Linked DNA regions of Arabidopsis thaliana. The protein of the gene in region 3 interacts with the protein of the main gene of each other region in a pairwise test. Each region holds a gene or a part of one and is shown on either strand. Other genes may lie near its edges.

Evidence for each region. The genes of interacting proteins can lie anywhere in the genome.
Region 1: the proteins of AT3G21690 (region 3) and AT1G57540 interact in a protein complementation assay, tested with the Arabidopsis thaliana proteins (one large-scale study listed by BioGRID).
Region 2: the proteins of AT3G21690 (region 3) and AT5G07340 interact in a protein complementation assay, tested with the Arabidopsis thaliana proteins (one large-scale study listed by BioGRID).

Annotation. Positions count from the first base shown.
Region 1 is NC_003070.9:21,309,395-21,314,659, forward strand, and holds AT1G57540 (40S ribosomal protein), read right to left. Parts: upstream 2,128-5,265; 5' UTR 2,019-2,127; exon of another isoform or gene 1,828-2,018; 5' UTR 1,822-1,827; coding exon 1,674-1,821; intron 1,248-1,673; coding exon 1,084-1,247; 3' UTR 501-1,083; downstream 1-500. Other genes in the region: AT1G57550 (Low temperature and salt responsive protein family), read right to left, coding at 3,147-3,230, 3,341-3,415.
Region 2 is NC_003076.8:2,314,027-2,320,149, reverse strand, and holds AT5G07340 (Calreticulin family protein), read right to left. Parts: upstream 2,938-6,123; 5' UTR 2,851-2,937; coding exon 2,740-2,850; intron 2,677-2,739; coding exon 2,607-2,676; intron 2,375-2,606; coding exon 1,239-2,374; intron 1,161-1,238; coding exon 1,089-1,160; intron 1,009-1,088; coding exon 898-1,008; intron 815-897; coding exon 692-814; 3' UTR 501-691; downstream 1-500. Other genes in the region: Tudor1 (TUDOR-SN protein 1), read left to right, coding at 1-28, 107-129; AT5G07330 (NFU1 iron-sulfur cluster protein), read right to left, coding at 3,509-3,988, 4,069-4,086. UniProt on the Arabidopsis thaliana protein: Calcium-binding protein that interacts with newly synthesized monoglucosylated glycoproteins in the endoplasmic reticulum. It may act in assisting protein assembly and/or in the retention within the ER of unassembled protein subunits.
Region 3 is NC_003074.8:7,635,641-7,644,433, reverse strand, and holds AT3G21690 (MATE efflux family protein), read right to left. Parts: upstream 5,851-8,793; 5' UTR 5,685-5,850; coding exon 5,364-5,684; intron 5,240-5,363; coding exon 4,608-5,239; intron 3,641-4,607; coding exon 3,584-3,640; intron 3,362-3,583; coding exon 3,123-3,361; intron 3,029-3,122; coding exon 2,910-3,028; intron 2,817-2,909; coding exon 2,730-2,816; intron 2,639-2,729; coding exon 2,573-2,638; 3' UTR 2,045-2,572; downstream 1-2,044.

The DNA.
Region 1 (5,265 bases), on a different chromosome or scaffold from region 3:
AATGCAATAGTACAGTTCGACCTTCGCTCAGTTGGTAGACAGGAGGTTGTTTCTTTGCGCCAAGAACTGTGCAAAAACCACATGTGGATGGATCTTTTGGTTTTGTAGTCTGCCTAGTCAATGGTTCAAACATCATAAGGTGTCAAGTATAGTGAAAGTAACCTCTGACATTTCCACTCATTCCCTATAACAAACTTGGCATGTAACGTAACTTAACCTTTTACCAAAAAAAAAAAACTTGACATGTATGCATTTCTCTTATTGAGTTCTCTTTTGATAACGATTTTGTTGTAATACTCTTGTCAAAGAACACTGAAAATGGAATGAAACAAGCTTTAGAAAATAAGATCTGACCCTACCGGATTCAAACTATTGACCTAAGGATGTTCTGCTTCAACTATTGTTTTCATTCGAAATGCAAAGAAACAACCTCCGTTCCAAAAAGCTAGATCTTTGGCCTCCATAGCTTGCAGAATTCACTTGATTAAGTTATGTTCTCCATGACATTATAATACCACAGGCTTATATGCTGTGTCTATATGACAATATCACTGAAATCCTAGCTCTTTACTCACATTCAAAACACATTGATGTCGATTATAATTAATTAATTAATTATGCTCGAGAAATGGTAGCATTAGGTTTGTTGGTGATCAAACATATTCCTACACATATTTAACTAGCAGGCATCTCCATGAAGTCACAACCTCGGTGTGGATATTCCACCTATGACTAGTTTGAGGGGATAGTGAGACCCAACCCTCCAAATAAATCCAAAGGTCTTCCCTTCGACAGCAAAAGCTTTAGAAAGCTAAACACTCTCCCAAAAGAGTGTGACCAATGGCCAATTACACTACACTCATAATCAAACACACACGAAAATGAGAGAGGAGCATAGGATGATACTCTTAACTCTATCAACCTAAAGGCTATATGAAAAAATACACCATAATTTCTAAAGGAAACAAAAAGTGACAGAATTTGGTAGTATTATAAATAGTTACCTAAATTCATGTACTGCAAGAAAATGTACAGAAGATGAGGTCCATACACATCATAGGTAAAGCCAGATTATGATGGGGTTTAAGGGAGTGAAGCTTGAGGGGTTTTGATGTTATCATATGCAGCAATGTTTTGTGGTTCACATTCAGGGCTGAAGAGACGGACAAGCATTGCAGTTGATGTGCTTACGGACAAAGCACCACACCCAGCCCACCGCAGACTCCTTGGCACTGTGATCCTTGGACCTACACATTTCCCAAAGAAAACATTTGCTTTTATAACCGTTCTATCTTAGAATTGACTCAACTATTCTATTCTACGTTCCTTTTACTCTTAAAACCACATAAACAACAAACCAACCCCAAGAATCATTTTTCATGACAATAGGAATCAAAGAACAAGTGTATTGCTTCCCAAAACGTGTAAAGATCCAATCTTTCACCACATCAAACTATTCAATCAAAGCTCCTTTTGGATTCATTTTTCTCATAAGAAACGGATACTACAGAACAGAAAACAGAATGGTAATACGCATTGGTATGTTTTCATAAGGCTACAAGAAATCTTTCTAACAATCAATTATGCAGAGCACTGGATTCAATAGCTATATGGAGAACAACCTTTTGATGGAAACGCAAATCACTGATTAGAAAGGAGAGAACTTTGTTTACCATAGTGAAGTCTGCAAAGAACCCAGAAACCAAGAGCTCCACCAACAGTGAAAATGGCAGCTGTTTGTTTCATCAGTCTTGAACATGGCTTAGCATCTGATCTCATCAGATCTCCTTCTGACCATCCTAACTTCTGCCTTAACGCCATTTCTCTCTGTAATAACAACACCAAATTAATTTAAGTATAAGAGAAACGAAACTATTCGGTTTTGTGATTAAGATATTCACTGAGGCATTTCATCGAGCAGTATAAGGGCAACTTCAAAAACGAGCAACAGATATAATAACTCTATATGGGTTAAGATCTAAGCAGTAAAAAAGAGAGCAGAATTGGTACATAAATACCAGAAGCAAAAGCAATCTCTGTCGTTACCGGTGATGCGTAGTTTCTTTGGCTGTGTCGCCGTCGAGCTTGTCGGAAGAAGACGGAGAAGAGAATCAGATCCACGTGTCTAATTAGCTGATATTTGGAAGCCCAATAAGTGTTAACTATCTTAATGGGCCGGACACAATAATCGTCGGATCCAAGTGATACACGTGGCTCGGAAAAACAATTTGTTTTTTCAAGGAGTTGGTTTCTGTCTTTCTGAATTAATTAAAAGGTTTTTTTTTCGTTAATTAGTACGAACTAATTAAAAGTTAGTGTAAAGTAGATTCGAGGTTTCACCGAGGTACACTTAGAGAGTTAGAGGGGATTGCAAAAAACCTTAATTGACAGCATTAACAATGGATTAATAGACGCATCTATTATCGGAATTTACACCGATATCTTGGATATTTAAGGTTAGAAAATAATATTTTTCTCATTCGAATCGTTGTTGTAACCAAGTAGCTCATAATTTTTTTCATTATGGGAGAGCATTGACTATACCAATTGATCCTCTTTGGTAAGATGGGACGATTTCAATAGATTTTGTTTACATTTTTTGCTTACCACTTTGAGGTAAAGAATTTGTATATGCAGGGATTATTGGGAACGTCTTCATGGGAGCCTATACCACACGGTATTCGATTCAAGCAATCTTCAAATCGGAATTGCAGAAGCTATATAAAATTATAAATGTATGTACACAGGTTTATATTTATCGTTATACGCATAAGTAAACTGTGTGTATCGATGACTCCATGTAATATCTCTATCAGAACTTTATAGTTCCTAATGGTACTAATAATTTGATCACTCTTTAGATGTAGTATTACTACAATTCAAAATTTATATCACGCATATAATAATATCATCAATCTTCCAAATCTGTTTATGATCCGTAAAATGTATCCATAACCTCTGCAAACTAGAACAACAGCAATTTGGAAACTGCTGGAATTTACATACATCTAACATAGCAAAAAGTTTGCTAGATTACAAAACTGATTCCTTAAATACAACATAAAAAATCTAAAAAAGCAAACATTGTTGGAAAAAGAAAAAGTTATAAAATAAAAAAAGGATCCAGTGTTTTTGATTGGTTATTCCTACTTGGTGAGAACGTAGATGGCATATATCAGTCCGGGGATAAAAGCGAATAACGTTAGAAGCAAACAGACCCAAAACTCCAACTGCAAACACATATACAAAGAAACAAAAAAACAAGAGATTTGATCTTACTTTGACCATTAATGTCAAATGTGTCATATATTTTTATGATTTATGAATGAAAAAAATTTACCCCAAGGCCATATCTGAGGAACACACCAACAGGAGGTATGAAGATTGCACAAAGAACCTCAAGGAAGCTACCCATTTTTTTCTTCTGTAATTTTATGTTTTTTTTATATGTTTTTTTATGTTTTTTTTTGTTTTTCTGTTTCTTAGTTTTGAACTTTGTTTTATTTCTTCTTACGTGTTCATTTCCATTTATGAACTTTGTAAAAGAACAAGAAAATAGAATTAGTGGTTACGTTAAATAAGGGAAGAAACTGAGTTTGATTGTGTAACGTCCTCTGCTTGTTCCTAAAATGAAGGAGCTCCACTTCAACACAAACAACACAACCCTTTGCGTTTTGACGCAACCTTCCGTTGTTCATCGGTTGGAAACAAAAAAATGGGATGAACACAAATAAGAAGTCGAATAACTTAAAAATAAAATGTTTTGTTTTTGGGCAAAGAAATTAAAATGTTACAATCATAATGTCTGTTACAAAAATAAAATTAAATTTCATGGATTACAAATATATATAGGCCATTAGTTTGTATTAGTATCATCTTATGTAGATAAAATGTTTGCTTTTAACTCAAGTGTAAACATAATTTTTAGTGATTTTTATCAAGTTTTTTTTCTTTTACTCAAGTTTTTTTTCCAAACATGTAAATATTCAATTATGTAAGTTTTAATCTACTTAACTTATCTATATTTGTTAGTTTAGCTTAGAACAAGTAAATCTAACTTGCTATCACTTATCGACTCCACATATTTAGTCGGGTGTAATAACTTAGAGACCCATTAGTCAAAACTAATTTAAAAATGAAATTTCGTAAACTCGGTTCTTTCATATTAGATAATCTATTAAGATATATTTTTTTAATTTAATTACGTGGTTGACAAAAATGGATAATAAAAAAAAAAGTTTAACCAAAACTAATTATCAAAGATTAATATAATTGTCACAAAACATCAAATAAAATAAATTTTGCATAGGTAGTTGAAAGAAATTAAATCTCATCTATAAAGTTTAATATATACGAGGGAAATAATATATGAGATGCGTGTTAATTAAGTGAACAGCTTAATGTTTTCCATTTGTCGGTGAATGATGTTAAAGTTTTGTGGTAGTGATAATGACAACGATCCTTCATGTAATCTATATAACTTTTATTCAGTTCAAAATATTAAATCTCTAGTTTCTTTATATATTAATTTAATCGTCCTCAGATTTTATTGGTTCTGTCAATCTTATGACAAAGACAAACGAAAAGGACAGTGATGATTAGCTTATAAATTACATATAATATAACGAGTTATTGAACAATTGACTTGAGAGGACAGCTCATATATTCATAGCATCTCTATTTGACCATTCCAATGCAATGCATGTTAAGCATGGCAACTATTCGTTCGTCTTCAGCAATATAACTTTTTGATATGTAGGGCTTTTTTATAACTTAATTCTACCTTTTTGTTTGACAAAAAATGCGATGAAAAAATCGTAAATAGTACATATTTCCATGTGATTGTTAAACTTGTATAATAACCGTAATATTACGTGAAATAAGTGAATAACATTTATCAAGTAAACTCGTTAATAAAAAAACATATATGAACAAGTTAAATAACACCATACCATTTAACGACATGCATAAAATCCACATTATGATTTTATCGTCTACGTTTTATAGAATTTAGTTATGTACAATTATACATATATCGGCCAAAGGGTTGGTCTTTAAATACTTGGAATTCTATGTAAACATGTAAAATTGCACAACTGTTTCACGGGGAGTGTCGCTATACAAATCTGACCCTCGCCTTTTTTTACGACAATGATATCTTGGATTTACACAGATTATTGAAACGCCCACATAAATCAATAAATACAACAATGTTGAGCTATGTGGACATGAAACTGTCGGGTACACGCTTCACCAACTTAAAAC
Region 2 (6,123 bases), on a different chromosome or scaffold from region 3:
ATAAGGGGAAGTTTGAACCATGCTTACAGTTTTTGTGTGTTTTCTGGTCCAACTTATCTTTCCATTCCTTAAGCCGTCTTATTTATGTTACACTGACATTAGAAAGAACAAAAAAAGAGCAGAGACTAAGCAGGAAGGATATGGTCGTTGGAGCAACTTTGGTCTTATTTTCTGATGAAGTGACTGCATCATCTGCTGGCAGTCAGCCAGCTGGTGAATAGTGCTGAGCTCGTTCTTGCCCGTGGTTTTGGAAATGTGGTTAGACACACAGATTTTGAAGAGCGATCAAACCTTTATGATGCTCTTCTGGCTGCTGAAGCTCGTGCTCTGTCAAAGAATCCATTCTGCAAACAGACCTAACTGTGGTTAGTATATCATACGAGTCTCGTGCCATGGCTATCAAGACCCTTTGGTAGAGAAGTCTAAATCTCGAAGCTAAGATTTTGTTGTAAACACTCGAGCTAAAGACGATAAACTGATAATGCTGATGCATGTGATGTACACAACCCATTACTTATCAAATTTCAACTCATAAATGTTGTGATCCACATTCAGATTCATGTGAAACTAAAAGCATACAAAAAAAACATGTTACAATAATCGTCTTAATATCAGGTCCACTACTGTTTGTCTATACGGTGATAAATCAAAACAAAAAGCCCCAAAAATCAAAATCTAATCCTCTTTTTATCTAACTCTCACGCCTCGTCTGCCTCTTTCGTGGTGCAGCCACCGCTTCTGCTTTCTCCTCTGTCTTTGCCTCGCTTGTCGAGGTCTCTGCAGCTGTTTCCGGTTTCTTCTTTTCTACCTTAGCCTACATACATACCAAGAATTTCGTTAAGACTCAAACACCCGCCAACCAAAACATTACATCTCACTGACATGTTTTTTTTTTACCTTTGCACCACCAAATATGAGCTTGAAGAAGAGAGAGAGGAAGACGATCACGATGGAAATGAGCACACCGATGGTTAAGTTTGGCTGTGTTTCAGCTTTCTCAATAAGTTCCTACAAACGAAAATTGCAAATTCTCATTTAAGATTCTTCATTATACAATATGTTTCTAAAGTCTGAAAATGAGAACTTACCATAATCTTTGACTTGTACGCACTAAGGAAAGAAATGTCTGCAACCTTGTACAAGAGGTCGAACACCTTCTTCTGCAGTAATGCACATACATAATATAAGTACAAAGGATATGTATAAGCATTCCAAATTTGTGGCGAAAATCAATATACCTGGTAACTCTTGAGACCATCTGCCTCACCAGCAGCTTCATCCTCTGCCTTTTGTTTCTCTTTCTCCACATCAAACTTGGGCTTCCAAGTGCTTTGTCTGTAAGTTTCAGCAACCTTCTCGTCTTTAGATATCAAGATGTTGTCAAATAAGATACCGTCTTGCATTGTCCATATCTCAATACCAATGGCAGCAATGGGCTCCAAATTCGGCCTCTCAAGCTCAAAATAATCAGGATTTGGAATGTCTCTTGGTTTCCAGATTCCCTTGTAAGCTGGGTTATCTATGAGAGGTGAGCTCCATTTGCCCTTGTAAGCAGGGTTCCTCTTCATCGGTCTCTTCCATTCGCCACATCCGGGTGCTGCCTCACACTTGGTGTTGGAAACCTTAGGAGCCTCCCACTCACCATCTTCCTCGTCATCCCAATCTTCTGGCTTGCTTGCCTCGGGGTCTTCAACCTCTACAGGCTCATCATCCAACCATCCTTCGGGTTTCTCAGCTTCCTCATCTTCAATCTCCATGGGTGCATCCTCATCCCAGTCATCAGGCTTCACAGCATTAGGATCAGGAATCTTGGCTCTCTCATCCCAGTCTTCTGGCTTCTTGTCCTCTGGATCAGGGATGGTCTTGGAAGGAATCAACGGAGGCTCAAAGTCTTCAGCAGACAGTAAATTACCCTTCTTCTTCTCCTCACCATCGACCAAAATCCTCACCTCATTATCAGATTTCAAGACCGCAGTGTAGACATGAGAAAGCATGTCAAACGGAACAGAAGGAGGGAACTTGAGATGGTGCTCAACAAACTCGCCACTCTTGGGATTCTTATGCTTCAAGATGAAATGAACCTTGTTGGTAGCACCACACTTATCAGGTCCAAACATGATAGAGTAAGGAGAATCATTATCAAACCCTTGAGGAACCCATCCAGCTTCTTGAGGACGAAGATACTTTAAGTAAGCACCACCACACTCAAGCCCTTCTTGGAAACGAGCCTCGTATTGAAGAACAACAGTTCCTTCGTTAAGGTTTAGAGGCTCATCAACATCAAGCTCTTTAACTATTCCGTACTTCTTAGCTTTCTCACTCACTAGAAGTCCATAATCATCATGCCCTTCACTCTTCTCGTGCTTCCACACACCTAAAAGATTTCAAATAAGAAGCAACCTTTTAAGAGCTCACACAAAGTCTGTTTCTTATCCACTTATAGTAAAAGTAAACATTTCTAAATCTGTTCCAATAAAAACCAAAACTTTAAGACCCCCTTTTGATTGTAACTTCCATTACACTAATTCTAACTTGTTTTTACTTCAACAGACGAAAGAAAACCAAAAAATTCAAAACACGAATTCACTACGACGACATGGCTTTACCTTGGTATTCAGCTTTCTCTGAAACGACCCAGCGACCATCAAAAGGCTCGTCAAACGATTCATACAGGATCTGAACAACAACAAAAACACCATGTTACTGGAGATTCGATGAACAAATCTTTAAAATAGGAACTTTTTCAAGGAAGTGACCAATCACCGTTTGGTCGTCACAGTAGCTAACACTGGGAAACGAAAGCAAAGCTACAAGAAGCAGCGAAACGAATGTAATAATCCGTTCTCTCATTATCGCAATCTCAAGAGAAGAGACAAAACAGAGACTCAAAATCAAATAAGACAGAGAAGTAACTACTAAGTAAGTACTAAGTAGATCAGAGAGAGAGATATTCTTTACTCTTTAGTCCTCGTATTTCTTAGACCTACGAACGTCATTTTGATTGTTATCTTCCAATGAATATCGCTCGCCAACGTGACACTACCCTATCACCTCTCGCCAAGTCATCCAAAACAAAGCACCGACGCGTGCAAAATTTTACCCCACTAGGGCCTGGTCCTGGGCCTTGACCTGGGCCCAATTAGAATGCGAATGAATCCTCGGACACTCTTAGAAGGTTAGGAAGTTAACCATTTTATCTCATTCAAACCTAGACCCAAGAAATTGGTTTCTCCCAAATGAGTATTTTTACTAAAATCGTTAATCCAGAAGAAAATAGAAGCAAAACGAAGTTGTATTATTACTTCGACCGAAATTTCATTAGATAATTTACATGCTGTTGAAACAACACAAATACACTCAAAAGTTGCTTGATCACTGTAATACATCCAAGAGGAAACAGGATAAAACCTTAACCGACCCATTTGAAAACTCTTTGATCTCCTTCAGATGTTTTATTTATCGACAGAAACATGGAAAACAAAACACATAAACCAGCCTTCATAAAAACTTAGTGAGCTGCAGCAGCCGATATCTTAGGATCAACGCCAACATCCTTAAGCGTCAAGGCACGAGGTTTATGAGCAAACTGGTCTTTCCTGATTGGGTCAGAGATCACATCCTGCTTGTCAAACTCTTGAACGTGAGCTATTTTCCTAAACCAAGACCTGTTAGCGAACCGGTCCGCTTCGTTTAGAACTCTATCTGGATCTTCGATCTCGGGAACGGTCTCTCTCATCTTCTTGTTGACACGTACGCCAGGGTTTTCATGTAGATGAAGATACGCAGTGTAGACACCAAATGTTACTGACAATGAAATCAATCCTATGGAGACGTAAACTGGTGTGAAGTCACCTTTTGTTGCTGCCGCTGTGGTGGCGGTTCTCTGGCCACCATACTCTGTTGCCGCCGTAGAATACGCTTTGGATCTTGGTACGGTTGTCGCCTTCGTGTAAGTTCTTAACCTCTGCACTACGTTTTTCAAGTGACCCTTCAAACACAAAATGATAAAAGTCAAATCGTGAAGACCAAATGAATCATAGAGAAACGACGACGTCTTAGGTTACTTACGGTTGATCGAACGGCCATTGGTTGTTCTTGGCGAGTGATTAGTAAAATCTAGCTGAAAAGAAGAGTAAGATTTGTACTTTTTGTTGTTGTGGATTGTGCTATACTTGAGAGCGTTTTAGATATCGGATATAAAAGGAAGATGGAGACATCTGGAGTAGAGAAGAGAGTTGTAGAAGTAATACGTGTAAGCATTTAAGAACATGCAGTTTAATTCGTGGAAGTGTCTTGAAGATCCACGTCAAATCAGATTCCTTATAATTGGGATTCACTGCAGTAATGCGCGTGTTTTATTTCATTGGTTCTGTCAAAATTAAAAATATGAGATATTAATTATATTTTAAATTTGTATGCCTAATGGATAAGACCAAAATTTGTGTATCTTCTTTTACTGGTAAGCTCTAGCAACCCTCGTCTTACCACGCGACATGTGACAATCACATTGCTGCTGTGTCGATGGAACCGTGCCTTGCATCGAGTAAATGAACCAATGGCACGAAAATCCATCAAGTACTAAATGAACCTATGTCACGAAAGTATGTTCTTTTGTTTTTAAGACAAAAATGAAGAGATTAAATATGTTTGGTGTCAATTCTAATGAAAATAGTTATATTTTCTCGTCTTCGTGTTATCGTTGTATCGACATTCAAATTTAAATTCATATAAATATTATGTAAAAAAGATGGAGAAATATTAAAACGACATTTTCAACGTAATATTTATTGTAGCCATTAATTCTATAAAGTTTGTCTATATTTAAGAAATATAAAATAATTAATGCATTTTTTATGGAGTTCTTTTTATTTCATAGTGCCTTTATTTAAATAGTGAATTCAGTACTATTCATAATTTTAATAGAAAAGTAAAAGTAAACAAGTTATTTGGGATAAAGACTTAACTAAAGTGCTATTTGGGATAAGACTTAACTAAAGTGGGCAAATCTTTCTCAATGAGGAAATTAAACAAGTTTTAACTACTGATTTAAATACAATAAATTGATACGAGTTGAACTAGTGTGCTTGGTGCTTACTAGCTCCCACTTTAATGGAATTAGTGCTTATTCGACGTAATTATTTGCTCATTTCTATTTTTGTTATAAATAAAGCGGTGTAAAGAGCTTTACAATCCTATATAAAGAAAGAAAGGCCTATACATTAACTATGTAAACAATATATATAATCGTATTCACATTTCATCTCTACTTTACGTTCTTTTCAAACTATGAATATTTTTCTTTGTATCGTGACTTTTACTCACTCACCACAATTTTTTAAAAATGATGTTACGTACTTTTATCATCAAGAATAAACTAAATGGCTTAAAGAAGCATTGGTCTTAACTGATTGATGATCAAAGAGTCTCTAAGTTAACCACGACTGTAAACTAAAACCTAGCTACGTAGGTCATAACTTTCAGAAGAAGAAAAAGAAAACTCAAGTTTTTGTTATCCTAGTTTTATTAACTGAAAATGTAATTATGAAAATAACTAATTCCATTTTATTTTCTGAAAAGTTAAGTATTTTTTTTGTCAAACTGGTACAAACTCAATATTAGTGGGTTGAGCTGATGAGGTAAGTGGTCCTCGTATGACCACTAAACTAGATCAGCTCCTTAGAAAATTAGTATTTTACGAAAATATATGATCTATTTAGTAAAAAAATCAAAAATGTATATATTATAGCTAGTGGAATGACGACATTTCTATATAATATATATTCTTGTGTGTGCTAATAGTCATGCAGAAGTCAAAAATAAATAGCATGTTTTTTTTTTGACACTATATATTAATTTTACATTATGAATCACTTATTTACGACTACCACTTAATCATTTTTACGAGTTAAACTTCTATTTTTTTTTCTTTATTTAGCAAAGTAGCCCTACTAATAATAAAGCAAGAAAAAGTATTAACGATAAACAGTAACAACAACAATAATTTATGCTGCGAACTTTAGATAACACATTAATATAATTCCAGCAAGTGGAAGATATATAGCAAAAACTATGCCGACGAAAAAATAATTAAAGAATAATTCCATCCCTCTACAGAAACCACCT
Region 3 (8,793 bases):
AAAAGAGAGAGAGATTTGATTTCAATACATAATGCCCGAAGCTTTAGCTTTTCTGTGTTTCTTCCTCTTTTTTCGGAAGAGACGACACTCTTATTAAATGAATTTTGAAATTTACTATTTTTGATGGGATTTGAAAAATTTGCAACGAACTTTTCTGGTGAGATGTGATGACCACATACATCTTTGGGGCCTAAAGTTGACCTATGAATTTTTTGTACGAAAAAGACGTATCGATTATAGTCATGTATTACGTGCTTGCATTGTATGCAAAGTTTCTAGATTTTTTAGTCTGATATTGTTGACAAATTCAGGGTCCGAATGGTGACTGCGTTTTGCGGTGTAAGAAATAAAGTGCAGTACGGTTCAAATAGTAACAAAAATACGTAGATACATATGTATATGTAGAGATTTTGGTAGTGTTACACCACTGTTGCGATGCGGTTTTGGATGTGGTCTATATCACAATTCATGATCTCCGTACTACTACCAATTATCATTCATAATTTTAACTTTGGTGTTAATCAAGTTGATTTAGAAGAACTTATCTTCATGATTTGTAACTTTAAGTGATAAAACTAAATTCATCTAAGACTTATCTAAAGTTAAATCATGTTTGATTATTTTACTAAGAAAATAAAAATGTAATGAGTTAGTTTTCAGATGTGTGCAAGAAAGCATACAATGATGATGTGTGTCTTCATGTACCCACCACATGTGAGCCATGTTTTTGGATGATTACACACAAATGTGGGTTTCTTCCGATAATTTTAAAATACTGAAAACAAGGTTCAATATTCTCTCGACATAATCAAATTATGTAAGTTATAAACAAATCATATGATATTGGGGGAATCAAGTGCTGCTGATTTAATTCGGTTTAAAAATTGTTGGTTCAAATGATGGTATTTTGGTTTAATTATTGAGACCCACGTGAATTTAAAACCCACGTTAAAGAAAAGAGAGGCCTTATAAAGACATGTCTCCGACAACTGTTTTAAAAAAAATTATAACCAAAATGCACTATCGTATAATGGCTGCTAACTTTCCTGAGTTTGAATGATTTACTTAAAGTCGTGATTTCCAATAGACTTTCAAAATCATATAACTACATCTTTCACCATCATTGGCCAACGTTCTAATGGAGTTCAAATTAAATTAGTATCAAACGATTTTGTTATATCTAGATTTTTTTTTTTTTTTTTGTGTATACCAAACTCTTTCATTCAAACTAGAAAGATACAAACAGATTAGGATTATTCAGATAAACTCAAATAGCAAGCTTGAAAATTGAAACACTTTGATATCTAGTAATATAGATCTAATACTGTAAAAAAGGAGTAATTTATTGTAGGTCGTGATACAAATTTACAAAAACTTCAATATATACGTTAGTTTAGGTATACATAGAAAATTGTTTGAGTTTTGATACATTTGTGTGCAACAGATACATTTGTGTTATTTTAAATGACAAACGATTGCCTAATTGTTGGACCAACAAAAGAATAAATAAGACTTAAATGTGTAGACAGAAAATGGCACAGATACAACGTGACGGCCATTATTGGCTTGGCCAAGTATTTACTATTTATATCCTTTTTCGTTGTATGGTTTATAATGAGAATAATGAAAAGAAAAAGTATCAAGAATTTTTCTTCTTTACTTTTTTTTTTTTCTTTTTTTTGAATAAAATGTAAAATTTATTCGAAAAAACGTGTTTACATCAAGTGTAACGGAAATTTAATCGCTCCTTTCTCTAACTTTATGGAACAAATATAACATCTCGTCTAGTAGTTTATAAGAATATTTAGAAGTTCTTACAATCGTTTTCGTTATTTTTTATTAAACACGAATGAAAATAGTGCTTATATTAAAATGTCATAGATGCGTTAAGTAGGCGATTATTTTACTTTTGTTTACATCAAAATTTTGCCACTAACTAAAGCAAAGTTAGAGCAAGATAATACACATTTATAACTATGTCAGATATCGAATCATCAACTCCAAAATTTCTCCTTTGACAAAAAAAAACTCCAAATTTTCTCTGTGCCTCAAGTCCTCAACGCAAATGAGCTGGACTGATTTTATGATGTGAAAACTTTGTTTTATGTATAGTAATTTCAGTTTACTTAGGCCCATATATTAGGCCCATAGATCACCCTGCCCATTTTGTTGGAAGTCCAGTTCTTATTTTCCTTCACATTCTCAACAACAACAAAAATGCATCATACTGAAAGAGAGAAACTTTAATTGCATTCCAGTCTAACAAAATATCATTAAACTAAAGAAAAACTCAGTAACAAAAATAACTAAGATCTATCCAATCAAAGACATGCATATATATATAAATCAATAAAAAATAACGCAGTAACTATTATAATCTTGGCATACAAAAATACATAACCTACCTCTAACATTTTAAACAAGAACACAAAAAACTTAAAATTGAGTTGTAGAAGTTTAAAAGGTTGATCCATATCCTTTTTTACCAGCTCACATGTTACTTTGAGCATTTGCATCGGTTTACCGATGAATCTAATCGGTTCCTTGGATACCAAACTTTCATCAACCTGCATCATTCAGGAACAACTTCTTGTTTCTTGTTGCTCCATTTGTCCAACCTTTTGGAAGCTTCTTCCACCTGAAACAAATTAAAATAACTATCAAATCAATGAAAATATTTACGTAAACACTTAGCGCCTACAGGGCAGCTTAAAGTTTAGCAAACTTACTTCTTTTGTCCAATCTGTTCTAAACGTGACCCACGCCAAAATAAACGTTTGTATAACCGTACCACCGATCATCCCCGTCCATATACCCTATAGCATCATTAGCCTTAAATTTGTTATTCTAATATTCAATACAAGAATAATGGTAACTAATTAAAATGAAAGTTAAGAAAACTATCTTGCCTTGGCACCGAAGTTAAAGTAAAACCCAAAGAGAGCCCCAAGAGGAATTCCAATAATGTAGTAACATCCAACGTTAACCTTCGCCACAAACGTTTGCCAACCGCATCCAACCGCCACACCTATAATAAAATTTTCCCAATTGTTCAAAAAAAAAAAAAAAATCTTCGCTTATTCGGTTTGCGAAATTGCGGTGTATCGATCAGAAGGGTTTACCAGAGAGGACAGGTTGGATTCCGTTAAGGACAAGTGTTACGGCAAGAAGCGGACAGAGATCAGAAACAGCGTCCGAGACTTCTTTACCCTCAGTGAAAGCATAGCTTAAAACATCGCGGCACGCTAAAATAACAATGGCTAGGATCACACAAGTGATTAACGAATAAATGTTAACGATGATCACAGAAAAAGCTGCTGATTTAGGGTTCCCAGCTCCAAGTTCATTGCTCACTCTTACACTGTATCAACATCATAACACAATTTTTGTCACACTTCATCAGATTTAATAGGAGAAAAAGAGCTTATGGTTCAGTATGATTTAGCATTATTTAAGTGTGTAAAATGTAAGAATCCACATATTTTTATGGGGGTAGGTAAATTGGATAGAGACGTTTTCTATTTTATATGATTTAAATTTAGTGAAAACGATCATGCAAGTGGTGAGTTGGGACAAAACAGACCTTATCGCTGCATTGAATCCAACAGATATCATGAACACCCACCCTGAAATCGTCATGCTGTAACACAAAAACAAATAATTTAATATCGTACACTATCAAAAGCTAGTATGAAACCATTGTTGCTTGTAATGTTTTTACAACATTTTAAAATTGTAACTTTTGACTTGACATGAAAATCAAAGATATCATATTATAAAGATGGGAATTCCATACTGATTTGGGGCAACTACCTAAATTTGGTGGCTGCTTCTGTTTGGTAACAGAGGAAAGAGAACTTTTGGAAAACCTAAAAAATCTAGTACTTACGACTCAGATAAATCTTAAACTAATTAGTACTAGAAGAATATTGTATAATATCTTCGACAAAATAAAGAAGTAGATGCAGATTGGACGAAGAAATAATGTTTTATTCGATTCCATATGAGATAGTTTCATATGGTCATACAGAAATTGTTAAAGTTAAATTCTACTGCTTAAGAAGAAGACAAAAACAAATTCCAAAGAAAACCAAAACGAGAAGACTGAAAAGAAGAAATGTGATGTGACCATAGATTGTCTGTAGCGGAAGAAGTGTCAAATTTGTTCGCCATTAACTTAACTTTCATATCTAGTATCTACAACCAAACTTTGCTTTGTACTCCCTACAAAAAGTTTTGTTCTATGCTTTTCATATCGAATAATAATAATACTAAAAGTTTTGTCGAATCATTACTAGAAAAATTCATGGAAAAGTCTATAATCATACATATTCACGTGGAGTTTCAGGATATATAAAAAAGTGTTTTCTTGTAGAAACCAATAACTACTACCTATGATAAAACATAAATAAAATATCATGTGGAAGACAAATTAGACTAGAATAGGTAAAATGGAAACCAAAGAGGCAAAAACACTAGAATAGATAAACTTAAATTATTATTTTTTATGGTCAATAGGTGAAATTAATTTAGTAAACGAAATTAACTAGTAAAAATAAATTTTAAAGGAAATAATTAAATTGAGTTTGACTAAAAATAGGACTTACCAAATAGAGAGTGAATCAAGAGCAAGTTCAGGATTCTCGAGAAGTCCGGCAAGAAGAACGAGAATCTGAAAATACCAAGTCTCAAGGCAAAGCATCACGGCAGAAGCGGCGGAGAGTTTAAAGAAACTCCACAAACCCGAGAAAGCTTGAACACTAAAACCTCTCCACGTCTCACGACACCTCTCACTCGTCACAATATAAACAAACTGAGCCACGACTATAATCCACCACGACAAGCTAAGCACAAGCGACGCACCAAGAAGTCCCATACCAAGCTTGTAAACCGCGAGCCAACTTAAAAGAAGGTGAACAAAGAGCGTAGCCGTTGAGATATAAGCACTTGGAGCTACTATGCTTTGTGATTGGAGAAATTTTTGTATTGGAAAGTTCGCTGCGTAGGCAAAGATTTGAGGGATAAGACCGTAGACGAAGAGCGATGCGGCCGAAGCGATTGCGGGAGATTCACCGAGGAAGAGAAGGATTGGTTCGGAGAAAACGTAGATTAAAGTAAGGAGGAGGCCGGTGAGTGTTAGTAATACGGTTGATCTTTGGAGATAAACTCCAAGCATCTCGTATTTTCTACCACCGTACGCTTGACCACATAACGTCTCCACTGCACTCCCCATGCCTAGCTATCATCGAAAAAAACTCGAATTTTAAAGATGTGAAAAAAAACATAGCATATAGACGAAAATGATATAAAACGTAACATTCATACAAAAAATATATACAAGAAGAGGAGTTTTTGGTTGTTACCATGAGACCGTAAGCGAAGACTTGAATACCGGTGTTACCAAGAGAAGCGGCGGCGAGTTCGAGGTTACCGAGATGGCCGGAGAAGATTTGAGTAGACATGGACATGAGGTAGTTAATCATGTAGACGATGACGGCTGGTGCAGCGAGGTTAAAGAGAAGCTTTGATTCGATTATGGTGGCTTTACGTAGGCGGAGAAACAGAGGAGTTTCTACGTCGGAGAGGACAGTTTCTAGCTCGCCGTTGGTTGACTCCGGCGGAGATGGAGATGGTTGAGGATGGAGAAGCGGTTGGTGTACGCCGTCGTTTGGAGACGAGTCCATGATGATGATGGAGATTTGCTCTCTCTCTCTCTCTTTTTTTTTTTTTTGGTTTGTTGTTTTGTTTGTGGTGTTATCGCTTGAGGATGTGTGTGGCTAGTGTTGTGTATAAGTGTATATAGGTCCTATCGAGGGTGGCGAGTGACGGCTAATGATAGTTACAAATTTGTATGTTAATCATTGTATTATTTCTACCGAGAGAGTCCACGTCTCTCATTAAAAACACCAAAGGTTATTAATTATTAGAATTCTTTCTTTCGTTTTTAGTCAAAGATTGTATAACATTTCTATGGATATCGTAATTAACTTTACAAGATATCTATATGTAAAATGCAAATAGTTTTCTTTACAATATTTTGAGTTATTTCGATGACATATATTGGTTAATTAGTATTCATAATTTTAAAGAATAAATAACGTACAATCACATTTTAAAAATGTGATTAATTTCAAATTCAATGTTATTTAATTTATATGATGTCAAAAAAGAATTGTTATCTAATTTATATACCACACATTTGCTCATGGATATAGGTTTCAATACTATACACAAATCTGTTTATTTATTATATACTAATTTGCTTAAATTTTTTGAACAGAAAAAGACAAATAATAATGTAAAACTGTTTTGATACTTCAGACAAAATGAAAATATCTTTGAAACATGAAAAATTTGTTCCATGAAAAAGGAAACTGTTTATTCTTATCCTTATAAGGAAAATAATCTTTCAAGAAAGCAAATGATTAATCAAATTGGGGAAAAAAAAATGATATTGAGTGGGATCTTCAAATACAACAAAACACCGTATGCCAAAAACTCATTTTGTACATGGCCAAAACAAAATTATGGTTTACCGGGCCAGTTACACCCACACCCCCTTCTTAAATTGTTGGTCCGCCCACACAAGGTATAGTAGTCGTAAAAGCAAGCGTACTAGTATAAAAATGATATTTATGGATACGATTCCAAATAAAATTGTTCACCAATGGTTATATGGTCTACTGCGAGTACACGTTTCTCTCTTTCATTCATTCTTTCTCAGTCATTAATTCCAACCCAATGATATAGCTACTACGTTTAATATTCATATTAAATGAAAATTAAAGTAACATCAATGATTATAAATGCTTGCCAGTTGCCCCCATGGTTTAATTCCTAAGAATGGGCTATCGTATGCAATAAAAAGAAAGGTAAACAACTAAACACCAATGGTTATATCGGTTGTTTTGAAAAATCTTCACGAGCACGATTTTAGGAAGATAAAAAAATTTGAGTGTTCGAATAATTGCCACTTTCACATTCAATGTTTTTCTGCGTATTAGCATGCAGGCATATACTTCATGGGTCATCATGGCAGCTTAGCTCCTTTTGCCGTTAATAGATATCAACTCTATTGGAGATATGTGTAATCCGATTAGGATTAGTACAATATCTTTGATGATAGAGTTTCTAACCTATATTTTAGGGATTTATGTTTATCTCTTGATAGAGATCATTGTGTATAAATACCATAGTTAATGAATCAATAAAAGCAAGTCAGTTCAATACCTTATTCTACACCCAACTATGACATCTTCTCTAGTCAATAGAATAGTAGAGATCAAAACCAAGCTTGCAAAAGTTTAATTCGCTTAAAAATTAGATATAATCTTTAGAAATCGAATGTATCAGATTCGAGTCATATAGCAAAGACAATAGCAGTGTAAATGATAGACCCAAACTTGGTACTACAGCTTTTAATGAAGTTATTTGGCTCAAATAAACCCAACCAAAAAAGTAGCTACGTTTTATCAGTAATAGCTGCAACTTGTATCTATATTCTGTGCAATATAAATGAGAAAAACGCGAGGTTACTTTTTCCTTTCAAAAGTTTAGCTATTTGCAAAACGTACGAAAAAGCCTTAAACGGAAAAGACAAATTAGAACGAGTTTATAAAGTTTAAAAAGCCATTCAGTCAGGAGAGAAAAACTCAAAAAAGTTGAAACTTAGTTACCAATTGTTGCCTTGGTCTCCCACTTCTGGTATATAAAAAACAGAGTTAAGTTTTTAAAGGACAGAAAAATCCCACATTTTGGACTCTTTGCTAAGTAAGATATGGACGAGGACATGGAACATTTATGGAATGGACAAGTAGCATCTTAAGTATTTACCATGATAACTGAAGGAAATCTAAAATGTGAAGCATATGCAAGCTACTTTCTGGTTTGTTAATTTGTAATTATAATTCATAATTATCGATTACTCCAAAAAGTCCCTCTACATATCTACTTTTTATTATAAAGCCCATCTTGGCTCTATAGTCTATACACAGAGACAGAGTTCTCGAAAATAAAAGCAGAAATTACTCGCAAGGCCCAAATATGGACTAAAACGCGGACTGAAATAGCATAAATCATCAATCTACATTTTTATGGGCATTTTTCTCCATGTTTTATGACATTATGCATGTATATATTATGGCGAATTCTTCAGAAAAAGGTACCTAATCCTTCAATTATACATCTCAATTTATTGCCAACAGATATAAAAAACAATCGTATATCATCTAAATTTTGTTTTGTTGGATTTTCCATACTATCCAAAAACACAATCTATTATAGCATTTATTTTTTATGTGTTGACAAGAAATTTTTATTAAGCGTTTTTGACTAAATCAATTTTAGTTTTAAAACTATAAACTTATTTTTCTTATATGTATCCACCACATGCAATAGGCTCTGAAGTGCCATGAAAATTATGGTGAAATTGACCTAATCCCATGTGGAAGACACTCTTTACGATTTGTCAGCTCTTTTCCGCGTTTCGGCCTCTATTTTTGTTTCTTCGCTTAGTAATGCATATCATGCTGCATGGCCCATTTTAAAATTACATATACGTCAATATATTTTCTTTATTATAAAAACTTAACAAAATGACAGACATATTTCTTTTGTTAGTTTATGATTTAAATTTGTGTTAGTCGCTTTAATATATTTTAATTCCATGGTCTTCCTTCCTTAATAATTGGAGGGGTCTCTATTATGAAAAGAGATTGGCGGTTAGAATTGGATTTGATTTGGTCATAAAATCATAACTAGACAAAATCTAATTTTATACGACGGTTTGTATGT